4 linked regions of the Oryzias latipes genome follow. The protein of the gene in region 1 purifies or fractionates together with the protein of each later gene. This does not show direct contact. Links are inferred from orthologs where the notes say so. Each region holds a gene or a part of one and is shown in the gene's direction. Other genes may lie near its edges.

What was found.
Region 2: the proteins of wdr77 (region 1) and clns1a purify together in Homo sapiens (affinity purification with mass spectrometry; 6 studies listed by BioGRID and IntAct, with this or other methods). This does not show direct contact. The link is inferred for Oryzias latipes from reciprocal best matches to the Homo sapiens genes WDR77 and CLNS1A.
Region 3: the proteins of wdr77 (region 1) and ctdp1 fractionate together in Homo sapiens (co-fractionation; 3 studies listed by BioGRID and IntAct, with this or other methods). This does not show direct contact. The link is inferred for Oryzias latipes from reciprocal best matches to the Homo sapiens genes WDR77 and CTDP1.
Region 4: the proteins of wdr77 (region 1) and gar1 purify together in Homo sapiens (affinity purification with mass spectrometry; 3 studies listed by BioGRID and IntAct, with this or other methods). This does not show direct contact. The link is inferred for Oryzias latipes from reciprocal best matches to the Homo sapiens genes WDR77 and GAR1.

Annotation. Positions count from the first base shown.
Region 1 is NC_019863.2:2,525,954-2,531,044, reverse strand, and holds the start of wdr77 (methylosome protein 50), read left to right. Parts: upstream 1-1,881; 5' UTR 1,882-2,189; coding exon 2,190-2,298; intron 2,299-2,476; coding exon 2,477-2,662; intron 2,663-3,543; coding exon 3,544-3,682; intron 3,683-4,746; coding exon 4,747-4,796; intron 4,797-4,941; coding exon 4,942-5,012; intron 5,013-5,091. UniProt on the Homo sapiens protein: Non-catalytic component of the methylosome complex, composed of PRMT5, WDR77 and CLNS1A, which modifies specific arginines to dimethylarginines in several spliceosomal Sm proteins and histones.
Region 2 is NC_019871.2:4,487,640-4,492,554, forward strand, and holds the start of clns1a (methylosome subunit pICln), read left to right. Parts: upstream 1-1,520; 5' UTR 1,521-1,788; coding exon 1,789-1,907; intron 1,908-2,733; coding exon 2,734-2,870; intron 2,871-3,020; coding exon 3,021-3,149; intron 3,150-3,295; coding exon 3,296-3,406; intron 3,407-4,915. Other genes in the region: solute carrier family 35 member F2, read left to right, coding at 202-501. UniProt on the Homo sapiens protein: Involved in both the assembly of spliceosomal snRNPs and the methylation of Sm proteins.
Region 3 is NC_019869.2:25,067,275-25,072,325, forward strand, and holds the start of ctdp1 (RNA polymerase II subunit A C-terminal domain phosphatase), read left to right. Parts: upstream 1-1,656; 5' UTR 1,657-1,823; coding exon 1,824-2,107; intron 2,108-3,132; coding exon 3,133-3,216; intron 3,217-4,021; coding exon 4,022-4,115; intron 4,116-4,324; coding exon 4,325-4,453; intron 4,454-5,051. Other genes in the region: adck5 (uncharacterized aarF domain-containing protein kinase 5), read right to left, coding at 541-564. UniProt on the Homo sapiens protein: Processively dephosphorylates 'Ser-2' and 'Ser-5' of the heptad repeats YSPTSPS in the C-terminal domain of the largest RNA polymerase II subunit. This promotes the activity of RNA polymerase II.
Region 4 is NC_019868.2:3,863,159-3,867,959, reverse strand, and holds the start of gar1 (H/ACA ribonucleoprotein complex subunit 1), read left to right. Parts: upstream 1-1,406; 5' UTR 1,407-1,494; intron 1,495-1,613; exon of another isoform or gene 1,614-1,630; intron 1,631-4,801. UniProt on the Homo sapiens protein: Required for ribosome biogenesis and telomere maintenance. Part of the H/ACA small nucleolar ribonucleoprotein (H/ACA snoRNP) complex, which catalyzes pseudouridylation of rRNA.

The DNA of each region.
Region 1 (5,091 bases):
CACCAATAACGACTGACGATGCCGTTCAGTGACGACAACCGGGGGGAAAACCGTCACTTCATCCGCCTGACACGGCCGAGAGCTTACCGTTTACGGCCACGGTGACAGACCCGCGAGACCCTAAACCGAGAAAAGCCAATCACATATCGATTTCAGACAGAAGAGCACTAGTGTGAAATTATCCCTAATCATCACTTCCGCTCTGCTCTTTCACAATAAAGTCTGGAGGATGAAACCTCGGCTTCTGCGGCTTCGCATCTTTATTACATGGAAATCACACTCAAAAGCTGTTCCATCAAACATCAAATTCAACATTTCTGGTTTGTTTTTAGCTTCAGCAGAACACCATTGCTCATGCAAACTGTGCATCTTTGGGGGATCATCGATTTTCTAAAATAATAAAACACGTTTAGGGGATAACAATAGTCATAGTTGTTTGTTTTCTTTATAAAAACTATAAGATAAAATTTCAATAGAAATTTTAAAATAGAAATAACGTTAGGAATCCCACTAGGTTATGCCTAAATCTTACCAGCACTATTTACAAACGTACAAAAAACTTGTTTTTTATTAAATAGGCTATAATAAATGAAGGTAAATCTGCAAGACATAAAAACTGAACAGAATGAATAAATAAGAATAGTTTAAAATATATACTTACAATTTTTTATGTTGACCATCACATAAAGAAAAAAACAAATATTTGTGCAAAACAGCAGAAATTGATCCTTGTGAGCCACAAGTGATTCTCGTGCTCCTTCTCATATGTAAAAACTTAAAATTTATCAAACAATAATCACAGAGATGCTACGCTCTAGCACATATGTGTATGCGGGCTCACTGTGTCCTAATGAACACAATTAAAAAACTTTGTGTTTTCTTGGTGTACATAGCACAAAGCTACAGCTTACAGCCCTCAATACAATTGACCTGTCATGCTTTACAAATGTATAACTTCTATACCATATAATCCAGATCGTTTTTAAATTTTCTGCATCCTTATGTAATTTCTTTGGGGATTTTTGGGAATGTATAAATGAAAGCTTTGTACATTTGTTTACTGACAATTCCTAAAATTATCCATTTCAGACCCCAGCTGGGTCCTTTTATTTATGCGTTTTACACGAACACGCTTCATGGAATTGTTTTATGACTTAATAGTCCTTTAGGTGTCTGTGTGCATGCCTGTGGGACCCTGCAACAGACTGGTGACCTGTTCAGGGTGTACCTCACCTTTTCCCAACAGTAGCAGGATAGGCTCCAGCAACCTCACGACTGCAAAATGGATTCAGCCGGTTCTGAAGATGGATGGATGGATGGCTGGACTTTGTGTTGAATTTTCCACCATGTCATTGCTGTCCCAACCTCTTTGTTCTGAATGGATGGGCAGTAAATGAATTTCATACTTATTTCTCAGTTAGAAAGACACCTCAATTTTTGCTTCCAGATCATGTTAACATCCCAAAGTACAGGAAACTCAGTCACTGTAAGCTGTTCGAGTCACAGGGGTGGCACAATTAATCGACTTAATCGATTTGCTTTCCTACGATTCAACCAGATTGATCTGTCTGAGGCTAGTTGTTAATCAAATTGACTTATTCAACTACATCTGCTGGAACAAGTACTCAGATAAAACCAAGCAACACATTTTTTTTAAACGTGGATAATTTATTTTAAACAAAACATTTTAAAACCTGGTTAGATCCCGTCACATTTCACACTCACAATAAATCATCATTGCCCACCACCAACCCGCGCCTGTGCCAGACCAAACACACCCACTAATACAGAAAGCTCTCATATTGATTGAAATGAAGCCTTGTAGTTCACCTTCTCTGCCCGCAGGGGGCAGTGCAGACGGGAAACGCACAAGAGGAAAAGAACAATAAACACCAACGAAGAAGTCCTCCAAACGCCTAAGGGACCTTTTCCCCACCGGTCCCACGTGTTTAATGCATTATTATTTCGTTGTCATTCATTCGGGACGCGAAAACGTATCCATTGTTTTCGCTAGAAATGTTATTTTAAGCTCGTATGCGTTTTAGGTGTATATTTCTATTTTGCCTAAACAGAAAATACGAGCTTTTCTTTGGCCGCAGCTAGCTTAGCTAGCGTTAACGGTTGTGTAGCTGATTTGCGGACAACCACATCTGAATTAGTGGGAAACTAGACTAAAGTTTGCTTTTTGGATGAACAGTGCAGTCGACACAAATATGATCAAGGAAAATCGGTGGAATATTCCCCCAAACGCTCCGGCGTGCATGGAGAAGCATCTGTGCGCGGCTCAGTACCGAGCAGGTAGGAAGAGAGAAGGCGCTAACCGTGGGTCACAGGCATAAACCACGTGCTTTTCATTTATGGGACTGGGGGTTTGTTGGTGTCCTGATATATTCAGCTCAGTTCTTTAGTTCGGCTGTAAACTGGTGTGTAACCTTTAGAAACGCTGCTTCCCACGTTCGTGCTGTGTCCTCTGCAGACGGCACGCTGCTCCTGGGCGCCTCCAGCCTCTCGGGCAGGACCTGGCAGGGGTCTGTGTGGATCTACAGGGAGCCTGAGCAGGCCCCCAGTGAGGGCTTCTGCAGGGCTGGCGTGCAGACGGAGGCAGGGATCACTGATGTCAAATGGGTCACTGAGAAGGCCATTGTTGCTGCTTCAGATTCAGGTGCGTCTCAAATGATCCTGACAACTAAAAACTCAATGTTCAATACTTTACAAACATTCTGCTATAACTTAAACTGGCTTTTCCTTCAAATGTAAGAACATATTCATTTGCTGTTTTACATTATTTTAAGTATTTATCCTTTTTCCACATTTTTATCTGTCTTTTTTAACTCATTTTTACTTTATTCTCATCTAATAAGTTTTATTTATCTTCGTATTAATCCCTGATTTTACCTTATATATTTTATTTCTTTAACATTTTGTTGCAAAATTCATGTTTTCCTCAGAGGGATGTTTTAAGTGAAACGTTTTTATTTTTAAATTGAACGCACTTTGTTTTACTGATGTATGACAGGTGCTTTATAAATAAAGTTTAATTTGATTTGAACTGTGGAACAAACATCCCATGGAGCCAGTCGGGCCGCAGGATTATGGCCAAGGGACGGATTTTCTAAGTTCTCAGATTTTTCCAGTAATAATTGCATATTTTATATCGGATTATAGAACTTTATTAACTTAGCCAGAATTCTCCCCAATAATATTATTATTTATTAACATTTAGATGTCATAGTATTTCTTCTCCTTTCTTTCTTTTGGCTTCATTTGTATTTTCCATTTGTTTTTTTTCCTCCAACATTTTTAGTGAATCAGAATAACAGTTCAGTGATTGCATCTACGCCTGTTTGTCCCTTAGCAGCCTCCGTCCTGCATCTTTGTTTAATGGAATCAGGTCTGTCACTGAATTAAATATTAGGCTGTCATCCGTGTGTAAGAAAAATGTACTTCTAAGTGTGTTGGGACAGATTGACATCAGTAGACAGGGATGCAGTGTTCTGTTGGTTGGCAGGATTGTGTTTGGACAGAACTGCTTCTTGTCCTCAGGTGCTCTAGAGCTCTGGGATTTGGCAGAAGATGAGCGGCTGCTGGTTAGTCGCTTCACCAAACACGAGCACGACCACATCGTGACGACCGTGAGCCCCACTGGAGCAACCGGCGCCGTCACCGGCAGCATGGACTGCAGGTCAGACTGCCGTGTCTGTTAGACCGCTGAAACGTTAGTATCCACTCAGAACTCTGAGGGTTTGATGTGATGTCAGTTCACCCCTTACTGCTACAACTACTTCCACTATGGGTTCATATCAGGATCAGCTTAGTGAATGAAAAACCAGATTGTAAATAAATAAAAAAAGATCATTTGAAAAGTTTTAAGCTCAAAAGAACATTAGGATGTGTTCAGACTGGACACTTTTGGTCCGTTTCAAGTGAACCAGAGTTTGTTTCTCTCAATAATCCGGACCAAATTTTCAGTCTGAATCCCCCCAAGTGGACCCTCATCGTCGTACCTTCGTACCATCTTCTTGCCAGTAAGCGTCTTGCAGGATGCCTCCGCCGTACCAAAGGAGCAGTAAAAAGAATTGTTCCTGATGTTAATACAGGCGCCAAAAACGAATGAGCGAAATATAAAGTTTTATTAAGTGAACCATCCCGACAAGGATTGCAAACTGGAGGACTTCCGTAGTTTCTGTCTCTAGTTGCTTTGCCCCGCCCTCGTAATTCCTGGCCTGTGGGTGAAGAGGCGCTTGACGGGAGCCTGAATACAGACCAGATGCAAGGTTCAGGCCTCGATCCATACCAAATGATTTTTCCAGTCTGAATACACACCAACACAATATTGAAACATTACAAATTGTAAAATAGAAGCTTGAATTAAAACAAATCTAGGCTAGTGCTTCTTCACCAGTCTGGTGTTCTTGTCCGTATGAACTTTGCTTTCTGAAGTGCAGTCGTGTTGAAACAGCAGAGATTCATCCTCTAACTCATCAGACTTGTGGGTAAATCGTGGGCCATCAAAAAAAACATTAGATAAAAATATGTTTTAAAAAATCTGTCTGCAAATAATCCTCCTCAGCATTTGACTGACATGCAGAACGGCCAACCGAACATCCTCTGATACATACATCCGCCATCATCCGGGTGTCATGACATCACAATCATTTCACTGACAGCCGACTGGAAGATTTAGGAGCGTGGAAATGTTGTGACTCGGATATTTTTCCTAAAATAAATGAATTCTCTTCAATGCAGGATTAAAGTGTGGGATCTCAGTCAGGAAGCAGCTGTGACCACCTACAACAGTAAGAGAGCCTTCAGTGGCAAAGCACTCCTGTTTATGCTTTTGACCAGGAGTGTAAATGATGATTTTTAAGTCGAGTTGTGTGTTAGAAGTGTATCAACGGTGGTGTTTGCAGAAGGACAAACACTTTCTCTCTCTCCGTCCAGTTCACACTCGGCCCGTCAGCTGTGTGACCTGCAGCCCAACAGATCCGTCCCTCTTCGTCTCCTGTGGCCAAGTATGAAATGATGTCTTCTGTCAGCATGTGGTCATTCGGGCTCCTGGGGATCCTTTTCTTTCCTCCCACGGGGCTTGAC
Region 2 (4,915 bases), on another chromosome or scaffold:
AAGGATCATCAAGGTTTTTGCAGTCAAAACATTGAAAAAAAAATTACACAACATAAAAATCGTATAAAGGGAAGTTTTTCTTTGTTTTTAGGGTTTAAAAATGGTTTTGACTCTGAACAAAACTTTGCACATCTTTTACTTTATGGTCTTCTCTGTGTCAATCATTCATACGTTCTATTATAACCTTCTGTCCCTCCGCAGTTCTCCGGACTCTACCTGGTCTCCCTGGTGGTCATCCTGATCGGCTTCATCACCTTCAATGCCGTCCCAACTGTTACTAGGTCTGCAGAGCCCACCACCTCTTCCTCCTCCTCCTCTTCCTCCATTGGCGAGGACGCTTGCTTCGACAATCCCGTCACTCAGGAGGACGTCTCCAAAGAAGTGTCTGTTCGGATCCCAGCTGAGGTGGAACTGAGGGGGGAACAAAAGAGGAAGAGGAGGGCTGCAGAAGAACACGATCGTGAAGATGCCGTTGGAGTCAGAAGCAGCACTAAAATGTGAAGAGCAGCACGAGTGTCCATGAAAAATTCAAGAATTATGGAGTTTTTCTTAGCTTTTTGAGGCTGATCTGTTTTATTCTTCTTTTTGTCAGAGGCATGAAATGTTCTTGATTTTGACCAATAAATATTCCTCTTCATGTGTGAACATCATCGTCCGTCTTTCAGATAGCTTCTGACAGGTGAGAACCGGTCATGATTCCTCTCTGTCTCTGTGGGTCAAACTCACCGATGACCCTTCATTGTGCTCAAATATGAACACCTGGAACATTTTCAAATCTCATTTGTCAGCCGTGTCACACTGAGTCACATGATGTCTGTTGAGTTTTATTTGCTAAAAAGTTGCTGATGTGACTTGTAGAGTCTTAGAAATGTTTAGACTGTGTAAAGTAAACCAATTAGAAAGAATACATTAAAGATAATTTACAAAATTTGAGTTTTTTTTTTTAAATCTGAGTTGATAAATTGGTAAGTGTGTGAGACCCCCCACCCTGTTTATCTCATCATCATCTTTTGAAATGCTAAAAAAAAGGGTACCTTAGAAATCTAAGGAATCCCAGGCTTTAAACTGGGATTTGGCTCTTTAGGTGAACCGAAGGCCACAAAAGGTTTTCTCTCAGAAAAAACGTGACTTCTTTGAATGATTAGTGACAGAGGATAGTTTTTCACATTTTGATGCAATCTTTTTATTCAACCCATGGAATAAAAGCTGAAAGTCTGCACTTCAATGACATCTGAGTTGTTTTATTTAAAATTCACCGTGGTAATGTACAGAAACAAAATTAGAAATAATATCTCTCTGTCCAAATATTTATGGTCCTGACTGTGTATATATACGTATATATATTTATATAGTCAAAAGGTTGTGCTTGTGTTTTTTAAATAAGAAAATATTTCTTTTTGGGGGGGGGGCGTCACTGTTTAAAAAAATTAAAAATAAAAAAGTTCGGAATGGGTGTAATCAGCTAAACAGCCACTAGAGGGCAGTGTAAAAAATATGCCACAGATGGCTTGAGGAGGCACGCTGGTCACGTGATTCGTTGACGTAAGGAAGAAACCGCGATATTTCAGTATCAACAAGCGCTCGCTGTCTGGCTGTTTCGGATTTTACGTTTTCTGTTGTAATTTCCCCCCCCAGAATTCCCTTGTCGTGACTCGAGTTTTGTCCTGAAACGAGGCTTACTGCGGTTAAACTAAGCCGCTCTGTTACCGGAAGTGGGTCACGGCTCTTCCTTTTGGGTTCCAAAGCAGTTCTGTTCTGTTCGGGCCCACGTTAACGGTCTAACGGACGATGGTTCTGGTGAGAAACCTCCGTCCTCCTACCGAGGGAGTGCGCCACGAGGAAGCCAACACCACTGCGGTGCTGAGCGGGCAGCAGCTCGGCTGTGGCACGTTGTACGTCGCCGAAACGTAAGTGATCCACGTGGCGCGCGTGTTTTGGTCGTTACACGTTGGAGGCAAATCTTTATGCACATTTCATTCACCCCGAAATGTATCCATCATAATATGTTCGATGATAAACTGCAGCTTGTTAGCACTAGTTCAGACCCCAGGAAGAGCTTCCGGTATTGCCCTGCTTTTCAAAATAAAACGTTAAATCGAAGTCATGTTTACGTGACAGTTCCGTGGTTCATTTTCTGCTGTCAAAGTATTGAATTAAAATAGGTTTATTGATTTATCCCCATTGATTTGTTTGTCTTTAACTTTAGTCTCAACTGATCACAAGACCTTTAAAGAGTAACTTTCCGTTTTTTCATATTAATTTTGTATTTTAAAGGTTAACACTGGATGGACTCTATACATGAAGTGTAAATACTATGTTTAACTAAATCTTTTCATTTTAATAACTTTGAATAAAAAATAATAGATTAGATTTGTCCCTGTAGTTAATTCCTGTGATTATTGTTATTTCTTTTTTTAGTGAAATTAAATTTAACTTGATTATTTGCTCAGGAAATCTTAATAAGATGTACTTTGAGGTTCAACATAACTCCTCTGATCATTCATTATTGTTTGGTAGTGCATTTTTAAATGAATATATTTTATTTCTCAGGTTAATGGATAAATAATTCAATAGAAAGGAGTCAGTGAGTCAAAATGCAGCCTATAATAAAGATCTTTATGGTTACGTGGCGCTGCAACACTTTCAGCTAACTCGACGTCAGACTTGATTCTCTTTTTCTGGTTTTTAATGTTGGAATCGGCCTCCTCTGATCTGTGTCTTTGTCCGTCTCAGGCGCCTGTCGTGGTTCGACGGCTCAGGGATGGGCTTCTCCCTGGAATACCCCTCCATCAGTCTGCACGCCATCTCCAGGGATGTCAGCGCCTACCCCGAGGAGCATCTCTACGTCATGGTCAACGGAAAACTAGGCGGTAAGAAAACCTTCAGTCATCTCTAAGCTTATTTGATTGCTTGAAATAAACCATTTCAAATCAAATCAAATCTCCTGAAAGCAGATCTGGGTTTTCTGCTTTGGTTTTTCTTCATTCATTCAACAATTTCATCCGTTCGTTTTCTTGTAGGTGAGGGTGAAGCTGAGATGACAGAGAAAGCAGCAGAAGAAGAAGATGATGATGGTAGTGACAGCAGCAACGGTGACGAAGAGGAAGTGATCACAGAAATTCGATTTGTTCCCAGAGACAAAGCTTCATGTGAGTGAGCGGTAACGGCCACCCGATCCGTGACGGCTAACCGATCAAGATCGCGTAGCCGTCACGGATCGGCCCCCCCCCCCTGATCCCGCCCGTCTGCCATAAAAAGTAGAAGATTAGAAATGTTTGCGTCTGTTTCCACGCAGTGGAGTCCATGTTCTCAGCCATGTGCGAGTGCCAGGCGTTACATCCAGACCCCGACGACGAAGACTCAGACAACGACTTCGAAGGAGAGGAGTACAATGTGGAGGAAGCTGGTAAGGACAACAGACGCACACAGCCGGGGAAACTTTATTTAAAATGTTTTTCTTATTTTATTCCCATCATTTTTGCAGAAATGCAAGGATTTTCTCACATATATAAAATAATCAGATTTTTTTGGATCAATATTAACTTTCAGGTGATTGATTGATGCTGAAACTGATGGTCAGTGAAACGCTGAAGATGACTAAAAGAAACTCAAATATTAACCCTAATTCTTTATAGTTCATACTGTGGCTGTAATGGCCTGGAAATTAAATCTCTGCTGTTTTTTTCACACTAAATATGATTTCAGATTTACATTGATTTTTTTTCTTTCCCCTCTCTTTACTTTCTTTAAAAAAAAAAAAGACAAATGACAGAATATAGCTAGCAGAAATGCTTTTATTTTGACATTTCCTTTGGGAGTGGACCTCAATTCAAGTTGCAACTGAATACAGACTGTAAGGCTTCTGAAACGTTGTGTTTTTGAGCTGCTGCTGCTTGATCGTCTCACAGAAAGCAGCACCGTTTGACTCTGGCTCAGCTGCTGAAACCAGTTTGTGCTTTAGGGAGCTGCTAACGCATTCTGCAAATTGTTGCTTCAAGTCTGAAGTTGAAAATCCAAACCCCTTCCATGTTTTTTGGGAACGAGCCCCTCTTCTTTTTGCTTGCTGGCATTTTACCGTGCGAGAGACGGGCGGGCTAACACAACAGAGCAGGATGCTGGACGGAAAAAATCCAGATTGTCCCGAAAGTAAATCTTTCTAAAGACCCATTCAGATGAAAACGGTGTTTTTAACATGTTCATGTAGCATTTTTTCCTCATGCTGGAGGACAAATATTAAGAAAATAAGGCTTTAAATTTCATTTTTCATTTAAAAAAAAGCTCATAACTGCACTCTGCAACCCCCCTGCTCCTTTCTGCTGCATCTACTTAGAAAAATAGATCCATAGACGTCTTCGTTTTCCTCGTCTGAGCTGGAATCTGGATCTAAACTCTACGGCTGGACAGCTCCGATATCATGCTCGCCGTTTATTTGGACCGGTGATTTTAGGTTGGGGGGTGTGAGGGGCTGGAAGCTAGCAGGACACCGTGTAAACAAAGGAATGATGGGAAGAGAGGTGGGCTTACTCCCTGCCAACAGTTGAGAGGTGAAATTCTTTTTTTTTTTTTGGTCCTTGCAGCTGAATTTGAATGAACTCCTGCCGCTCTGCAGACACTATGTCCCAGAAAACAACAAGTTTGGGGATTTTGGCTTAAAACCATAAAAGAGCTTTGAAAATAGATCAAATGATTGGAGTGGGACTTTAAAGAGGTGTTAACAGTCGTACCCCTCATTTCACCACGGAAGGATAGCCCCCCCCCCCCCCCCCCCCCCCCATCTATGGCGAGACTTGAGTTCAGAAATCACACGCCGTAGGCGAAATCTGCAAAATAGATATCATTTTTTATTTTTTTTCTATTTATTCTAGATGTCGTAAGGCTGTAAAACTCCTCACTACACACTTTCTACCCATTTCTC
Region 3 (5,051 bases), on another chromosome or scaffold:
TTCACAGGCACAGTCAAAAACTGCTGGATTAAATATAATCTGTGAAGCAAGGCGTCATCTGTGCAGCCAGACTCCTGACAGAGATGATCTCTGCTCCCAGCTTCAGTCTGTTTTGAGTCAAAGCACAGCAGAGCAGGGATGGGGGGGTCCATCTCCCACCAAGGCCAGGCCTTGTTGTTTTTGTCTGCATCTGAGGGACAGAATGTCTCTGCTCCTGACACATTGATTTAGGAGATAGAGAGATGTCAATGACCTGAGGCTGACACATGTGAAGATGTCCTCTCTGTGTTCTTCACATCATCATGGGAGGAGGAGAACATGATCTCCTGTCTTCAAACGAAGACAGCTGGTTAGGAGGCGAACTAACGCTCCTGTCAGCGGTTGAACTTGGACAAGAGTGTGAGAAGAAAGGCGGGAACGCTGACAGATATTTACAGTCTGACACAGAATCATCACCGGCTAGCATGACTGCTAATAACAGCTAGCTGCTGGTGAAATTCATGAAACCCCACATTCTATGCATAACGTGTTGGTATTTACCACTGCCGAGGCCTCCGCCGTCATTGCTCTTCAAGTTATAACTGCTCCGAGCGGCGAGGGAACTCCAGGATCCTCGTTCTTGCCTGAAAAAGTCCGGAGTCTGCGCCTCCTCCTCCTCCGGATGCTCCTAGCATAGTCGCCACGATTGACCAAAGAGTGTAGAAATGCGAGATGATCTCTACTTACCCACTTCCGGTCTAGCTAAAAAAAAAAAAAAAGGTTTTATAAAAGTTTTACTTAATACATTCACACATCGACTTTAACAACCCGTATAAAATGCATATTCTTTGAATTTTATTTAATAGTTGAAACGTACTGCCCTTTGTGTGCTGCATGTTGGGGGGCATGTCATTTTGAAAGGATGTTTTCTCCGGAACATTAATGCGCCTCTAATGACGCGAGGTAACATCTAATCTCAGCGGAACTCTCTGTTCTAAACAGACACGGGTAAGTGTCAAAGGTCATGCCCTCGGCCTGCTGATCGATTCGGATTTCTTTAATATTTGCCTGCTTAATACTTTGACAAACATGTTTCCCACATTAGTAAACTGCAATGAAGTGACCTTAATCTGTGACCAAAATGCCCATAACCCCACCCCCCCAAACAGGCACAAGTAACCATTAAAACGCCCCCACAGCATTCTGCTTCTTCTTGTGTGTTATCCTTGAACAACAGCCTTCATCACACGTCAAGTGTCACCGACAAAGAACCGGCAAAGTTTCATGCAGAAAAATGTCTACATTTCTCTTCCCTTTTTATTATTTTTATTTGTATTTATTGAGTACATATTTCAATAGGTTAGTACTATCAATATTTTTAAAACTTTTTTTTAGATTGAAGTTTTAAAAGGAACAAGATTAACGTGTTGTTTTCAAAATAAAAGCTGGATATATTTGATTCACACTGTAACGTGTCTGACATGTTTGTACTGAGCACATCATCACACTTTAAACATTAGACACACACATAAGTCGTGAGTCGTGTTTACACTAAAATTGTTTTAAAGTGCTTAAAAAAATCAATCTGGCTATGTTATTTAGCACGGTACCTTTATTTTGAAAGGTAGTGTGTTTTGGTTCGCTGCTGCGCACCGGATGCCGTAGCTGTCCGTGTCAGTGTTGCGCTTTCACGGGCGGGAAGAGCGAACCTTGAAGGGTCCAGGGTTTGGGTGAAAACCTCTGGAGGCTTTTCCCCTCTGCGTATCGTTGATCCGCGGCACATCGGTGGAGCTGCTGTGACCGGACCTCTGCGTGCGAATTACCGGTTTGGAGTGGGGGGGCAGATGGAGGACCCTCCCGTGGGTTCTGGCGGCGCATCAGCGGAGGGCCCCGCGGCGCAGGTGGCGGATATGTGCTGGCCGACCGAAGCGCTTCCTTTGCGGCTGCTGGAGTGGAAAGTGAAGCCCGGGACACTGGTGAACGTGGACTCCGTGATAGCGCTGTGCGCGGTCGTGCCCCGGGAGGAGGCGGCGGAGGGCGTCCGGCCATCAGAGAAGAAGGTGAAGTCGAACCGTGCAGGAGTGGTGAAGGAGCTCTGCTGCCAGACCGGACACATCATTCCTCCGGGGTGAGTCTGCTGGAAACGTTCGGGTCAGGGGGACCCGCGTGGTATTCTAATGGCACGCGGGCCCTTATCATGGTTCGTCTCTTCTTTATTAATTTTCTCTGGTTCAGGCTAACATGCTAACCCCACGCTAGCATGTTAGCAGCATGTTAACAGCGACTCAACGTAAACAAACTGAACTTCAACAGACTTTCAAATTAAAAGCAAAGTCCTCTCAGCATCACATTTTCTGCTCGATTTTACCATGTATTCCAGTGAGAGACAACAAACAAGAATAAAATAGAATAGAAGCCACACTCAACCTTTTATAGACTATCTCGATTTTAATAAATATACATTCAAACAAACAATGTCTCTTATTTTGAAATGTCATCTCATTGACAAGCGCATGACGCAAATGGACACTTTCCCTCTATTTTTCAGAAGCCTTATATTGTCCTGCTTACCTATTTTTATCTCATTAATTTCTTTATTCTACAAATGTGCACGAGTTATTTTTAAATATATTTATTATTATTATAGAAAGTAAAAACCTTTTTTTTTACTTCTTTTTTTAAACAGAAATAAACTTTTTTTAGGGAAAAATTCCCTTAAAAATTCAAACATCTGACTTGACATAAATCTGGACTGAAAGGGTTCAGACTCATAAAGCCTTCAGGTGCCTCTTTTAAACTCCACCTGTGGACAAAAAAAACGTCCCTTTCCGTGGCTTTCACCTTATTTTTCCCTTTTCCTCATCTTTATCTCATTCTAAACCTCTGTGGTTTAGTGGGGAACACTCATCTGAAACTTGTTTTAAAAAGCAGTCTGAACTAGAAACACTGTCCACACCAATAATGTATTTAAAATCTATGCACTGCAGATGTATTGAATATTGTGTTCCAGCTGAATATCTATCCATCCATCGCTCCATCTTTCTGCAGAACCCCCTGTATCTCTTTCAGAGTCATGGGTTCCACCTGAACATGACCAGTGAATTTCACTGAATGTTTCCACTAATCTATGTTTGTGTGTTTGTTTGTTTTCAGGGGTGTCATTGTCAGAATCGAAGAATGCAGCCACCCTGTTGTCATGAAGGGTTTATGCGCCGAATGTGGCCAGGATTTGACTCAGTAAGAATACACTGTCTTCTGTTTTTTTGTAAATAATGCCTAATTTATAAAAGCTGTCAGGTTTAGTTTGTGTAGAGTGCTATTCCAGATGACGCCATCAGGGGGCGCCAGACACCAGGATTTCTGTTTGAAACGCCTATTTTTTTCCTTTCACACCTAATGATGATTCAGCATATTATTTGTTTTTGTCCACATAGTTTTCAATTAATCTTTTAGCAATGCCCCTTCTTAAGTTTTTATTTTATTTTACTGGGATGAATGTATTTATGTTCACTTTCTTTTGTTGTTAAATGTGTCTCATTTCTGAAATTTGAGGTTTTTTTATCTACTGCTGTCACTTCTCTGCATCGCTTTAATCTCTCAGTGGTAAAGTTCTGTTTGTATCGAGTTGGACCAGGTTACATTGGTCTTTGTAGTCCATGTTATCCGTCTGCACCAAAACATGATAAAATAATCAGTTTTTGAGTGTAAAAGGATTTTGAACTACATTATCCAGAGTACCGTTTTAAATGAGCAGACATTCACATTACCTGGACATCTTGTGTTTTTTCCATAGCTGTTAAAACCACATCAGTGACAGTGAAGTTCAATAAAAATGCACTCGTTAGCTCCTTAAATGTACACATCTGTGAGTAAATGTGGATTTGTTGACGCTGACTTCCTGTTTTCTCCGTCAGCATCCATCCGTGCTGGGGTGTAAGTGTTGGGATTGTGTGTTTGGTGGTGGATCTGAAACAAATAGCAGACCTCCTCTGACAGTTTGCTGGAGGACCTGAGCGTGGTCTCTCTCTCTCTCTCGTCTCAGGCTTCAGGGGACAAACGGAAACCAGCACACCCCCATCTCCACGGCAACCGTCTCCATGGTGCACAGTGTCCCTGAACTGATGGTCAGCTCTGAGGTGAGTCACGATGGCAGCTGTCTGTGCGTCCACACTTCAAGCTGAGTTCATATCCAAGACGAAGCTCTCAGTCTGAGGTTAAAGAAGTGTTCCTGCAGTGGACCACACGCTGGTTCTTCTACAAATGAATGTTTGAAAACGGTGGAGAAAATGTACCCATAAGCCTGTCATACTCGGCTTCACCGGCGGGGTTCTCCTTTGTTTGGCAGCAAGCCGAGCAGCTGGGCAGAGAGGACCAGCAGAGGCTGCACCGGAACAGGAAGCTGGTCCTCATGGTGGATCTGGACCAGACGCTCATCCACACCACAGAGCAGCACTGCCAGCAGATGTCCAACAAGGTACAGCTCAAGGCGAAGCCCAGGAGGCAAACCTGGCTTTAGGTCCTGGAACAAAGTGGGTTCTAAAAAGCTCGGTACTGTCAGAATTAATGGCTTTGTTCTGGAGGAGAAGGGTTTCTCTGATTTCTGCCTGCAAAGTCACCGGTCAGATTCTAATGTGGGGTTTCTGAGGGAATCAGTCTGCCAGAGCTACACCACTTCATGCTGCTGGTTGGGGGTTCAAACGCTCTTGGGCAGGAACCCACATTGCCTCGATCTGTAAGTCGCTTTGGATAGAACCCAAACATGTTTAAAAGGTGAAGAATAATCCAAGAAATGCATCCCTGTTTCCCAGCAGGCCTTGCAGGGGAAGGGCCTGTTCCCATCAGGGAAGGGCCTGTTCCCATCAGGGAAGGGCCTGTTCCCATCAGGGCCCTGTTGGTGTTTCTACCTTCACCTGCTGCAGGAGTCTGTTATGTCACAAATCACATCTTTTGCAGACATGACATGTTATGTCATGTCTGTTCAGGGGAATAAACATAAATCTGTCACATTTGAGGAGAAGGTTGATGCTTTCAGAGGACGAGAGCTTCATCACTGAGGGCCTTTCCTGGTCTTC
Region 4 (4,801 bases), on another chromosome or scaffold:
GCTTCCAGGCAACAGCTGCCTTGCACCTCTGAAAGCACACCTGCTTCAGCTGTTTGTGCATGTGACTATCAACGACTGGTTACAAACACAATCACACACTCTTTCCTCTCTCTCTCTCACACACACACTCTCGGAAAACAAAAGCATTCCTCCCTGACCAGCTGTTGCCATAGTTACCCGCGCAGCAGAATTTTAAAAAGCCAACAAACACTTAAACATCTCCACTATTGGAGCAGCGTCTGTCTGGCGAAACTTTTGATGAAGTCAGAGTGGTCTGTCTCTTTAAGGACGGGGCAGGTCGGCTTATGACACAAAGAAGACAAGGGTTGCCAGATCGGTCATGTTTCCGCTTCTTTGGAACTCTTTGGGCTGGACACATCTGCAGTTGGCAAAATGAACAAATTCAGGCTGTTTTTCTCAAAACTGATGTTTTGTTTTAAATTTAAAAAAATGTTTTTCTAGAAATTATGCTTAAAGAGTTTTGTTGGTTAACCAGATGTCACTAGAAAGAGCTGTAGTAAATTACTTTAGAATTACTTTAAAATATTATTCACACATAAAAAAGTATTCATCCAAATAACTATCAATATTACAGAAACAATTAACACCTAAAACAAAAAAAAATTGAACATATTGAACTGGAGGTGTAAAATTATGGAATAAGGTAAAAAAAAATAACCACAAATTATTGTGCTGATTTACATTTACAGTCAACTAAAGGTCAAAAGGAACATGGGGTTGATTTCAGTCTTTAGCTATTGTGAGGCTTATTGTGAAAAAAATTACTGATATACAAGTTTGAAATCTTTGTTTTCACACATAGCCCACACAATATAACCAATATTATTCTACTTTAAAGATTAAACTGAGTTTAGTCCTACTTCACAAATGAAAAGAAGCAGTGACAGACCTTAAAGCAGTCAAACACCTGAAAATGACATGCTGAAGTCTGATCCAGATGCAAGTTGGATTTCTGGTCATGGTTGTGCAGTCAGAGGAAAATCGTAGTGTAACTCAGCAGCAGAGGTTTCCTATTGCATTTGCTAAGTTTCTTGTTAATATAATTTTTTAAGTGTTTTTAAATAACAAATGATGCAAATACCACAAAAAAAGTTATGAATACAGCTCAAGTTACTAGGAACCGCACGAACAATTGTGTAGAAAATACACACAGAAAATGCAAAAGATTAAAAAGAGACTGATAAAAACAACAAATCACTCAAAAGGAGACGACAACTAATAGTTTATTGATTTATATATTTTTATAAAATAAATCTATCTTGATTTTGTAAATTACCATTAAAAAGTCTTAGTTTAGCTTTTTTATGTGGGGGGAAGTTTAGTCCGGGTTGTGTTTGCCTTTACTGATTTTACTGCGTAGTTTTGTCGGGAAATGATCTGATCTGGCAACCTCCTGTGCGACATCAGAGACAACCTTTACGGCAGCCTGCGCTTGCGCGTGTTGTCACGTGGACATTTCCTCTGCGATAACAGGTAAGTTCTTGCCTTTACATCTTATTTTCTTGGGTAATAGTTTTCCACGTGTCATATTATTTATCAGCAGATGAGCGGGGTGTGTAAAGAACCCACTGGAAAGCGGTGGTTTCGCGCCTAAACGGTCGTGTTTACGGTGAGCTGCTCCGGGAAGCACGTGCTCTCGCTGATCCTTTCACCGAAGCCGGTTTTTTTAGCGCGTGAGGCACCGGGGGAGCCTCAGGGCGCGTTAAAGTTCCGGACACGGTTCCACGCGTGTTTCTGGTTACTGCAACCTGTCGTGTCGCTGTGTTTGCCAGCTAAACACTCGCACTATTTGCACAGCGGACACGGGACGGGACGGTCGCACGCGGCTGAAGACTGGATTCGTTGACGGGATCACTCCGCGGTTGTAAAGCGGCGGGCGGCTATCTGTGTGCTCTATTTTGTAAGACTGTAAGGAGTAAAACATTTGTTTGCATTCTTACTGTAACGACTCGGTTTCCGCCCACTGCCATAGCAATCAGCGGGCGAGGTGCATCATGGGAGCTCATGGTTTTGGTGCGTTTGTCAGTTCAGCTTTTGGTGTTTTCTTTGTTCATTGTGTTGTTGTTTTTTTCTTTAAAAAAGTATCAAATATACGCCATGTGGTCATTGGCATATACACAGAGTCCCGATATTCAATTCAACTGAGTGAGCATGCGCGTTGAGCCTCGTTTATTAAACTAAAAACAGAATTAAACTTTCTGAAATGTTATTGATCTTCTAGAAGGGAAATTATCTTTATCATAGTTTTGTTTAAAAAAAACAGATTATAATGGCGATGTCCTGCCGTATTTTTTGAGAATGAAGTGATATTTATGCCAACACATTGCAAACAAAACTTTTTAAGTAGCAAGTGAAGGTATTAAATAGTTGCTTAAATAGTTCTTAAATTTTTTTCTGCTTTCAAAAAAAAATTTTGCGTTTTAACACGTCTCATTTCGCTGTTTCCCTATCTTTGATTTAACGTTCATAAGTCTCAGTTTAGCGTGACATATGTGCCAACAAACAGCCTGCTGATTGGTCCAGATTCTAACCAGCCGCACAACTTTGTCTTCATAAATGCGTTTCTTTTTGACACATTCCTTACCCCATAGTATCAGTCTATGGGTGGATTCAGACTCCACACAGTTGGTTCTCTTAAAGTGAACCAGAAGTTCGTTTCCCCCGACAATCTGGAACAAATTTTCAGTCTGAATAAACCCAAGTGGGCCCTGGTGCGGGACCAGGAACCGCTTGGTTCCATCTGTGGAGGTGGTCTCTCAGTTCGTTTCCAATCGGACTGAGCTTTGGTGTACTCTAAGGTTCTTCAGTCTGAATACAGTCTGTTCCCAGAGTGGAACAACGGAACCAAAAATGGCCACCGTAGCCGCTCCGTATGGGATGTAAACGGAAAAGGAAGTAACCATGACGATGAGACACAGCAACTCATTGAAATGTGATTGGATAAATGCAGGCTCATTAAAACAACTTTTAATGTGACGCACGTTGCTTCTCACTGTTTTCCCGACCATCTGCATGTCATAAAGTCTTATCAGTGACTCTTGCCGTTAGCCGCCCTACAGCCAGCCTCCACTGGACCAATGGGATTGCAAAGTGCACTAGTCTTTGACTGCCCTCGTAATTCCTGGCCAATGACTGAAGAGATCTTTAGTCACACGTTTTTTTTTTTACAAGCTTTGGTTGGTTGGAAACAGAAATGTCCGGTTGAAGGCAGTCTGACTACAGACCCAATGCAACGCTCAGGACTCAATCTGGACCAAACTAAGCAGACTCAGTCCAGACCAACTGACACCCTTCATATTTTTCAACCCAGTTCCTTACAATTCCCTCTGTTTAGACAGTTGACTGTATATGAGAACTGGACTGAGTGACTCCTCTCCCGTAGAGTTCCAAACAGGAAGTTCCCGCTGTCTCCAAGAAGCCAAATTTCCATAGACTTCTACAGAGAAATGAGCAGCTGTAACTCACTTAGGGGTAGGGTTGTGCCGATGGACGATATCATCGTCCATCGTGATGGGTGACTGACATCCCGATGGAGAGACCACCATCGTGATGCCACGCCCCCGCCACGTTGCGCGTCGACACCATAAGCCGCGGTTACATGTACAAAATATCTTGATGGGATCAATGGTCGGATTAGAATCCAACCGTGTAGATGGGCCCAGAAAAATGTTTTCAGAATATAAAAACGTTCACTAAGGTCACACTTTCGGTCGGAATAAATCATTCGCACATGCGCAGTTTGAAAACCGGAAGGGGATACAACTTCCGCCGAGCGGCTTTTTTTTCCAAACTTTATTGAATGTAACAATTCAATACAAAACAATGTTAAACAGCGCCGAGCGGCTTTATACATTGACATGTCAGCTCAGTAATTTACGAGCCAATCTTCTAAACGTGCCTTTAATAATGTTACGGTTATTATGAAACACCTGTTCGCTCATCATTTGAATTTTAATCCGTGTGGTCAGTGCTTTTTCTGAACGAAGCCAGGATTAGCAGTATGCTAACACGGGCTAACAACATTAGCTTTGGGTGGTGCTGCTTGCTGGCTGCACGTAAACATGTAAGAATAACATCAGCCTTTATTTAGTCGGGACACGACTGGAAACACAAATCCGCGTGATTGTTTGAATGTTTTCTAAGGACTGAGCGACATTTCTGCTTTGAAGCTCAAACCGCTGTGTGTGCTGACGATCCGAGCTGTGCTCAGTCAGACATAGGGTTGGGCGATGTCCCCTAATTTGGCCGTTGACGATGTTTGCTGTCAACCATCGGGATGGACGATGACATCGTCGGGGGGGGGATTTTTTACATTTTTCGTTCTTATATAACTGCTATTCGTTATTTTGCTTTTTTCATTTTATTTCCCAACTAATGACTCATCCGCGATGATCCAGTATAAACTGAGGGAAGTGACTTTAACAGAAAAAGTAACAAGCAAGATGGAAAAGAAGTAGTCCACTCCCGCATTTAGCGAAGTGGACCGGCGGAGTGCGGATTTACAGCTTTGTGTTTGATGGGAAGGGGGGGGGGGGGGGGTACATGAGCGGTATGTGTGGGAGATTTAAGACTGCGATCCGTCCCGCAGCTCTAGGGGTACTACCTACCGAACTCAGAACCGGGTCGACCAACGTGTGTCTGAGCACAGCTCGGATCGTCAGCACACACAGAGGTTTAAGCATCAAAGCAGAAATGTCGCTCAGTCCTTAGAAAACATTCAAACAATCACGTGGATTTGTGTTTCCAGTCGTGTCCCGACTAAATAAAGGCTGATGTTATT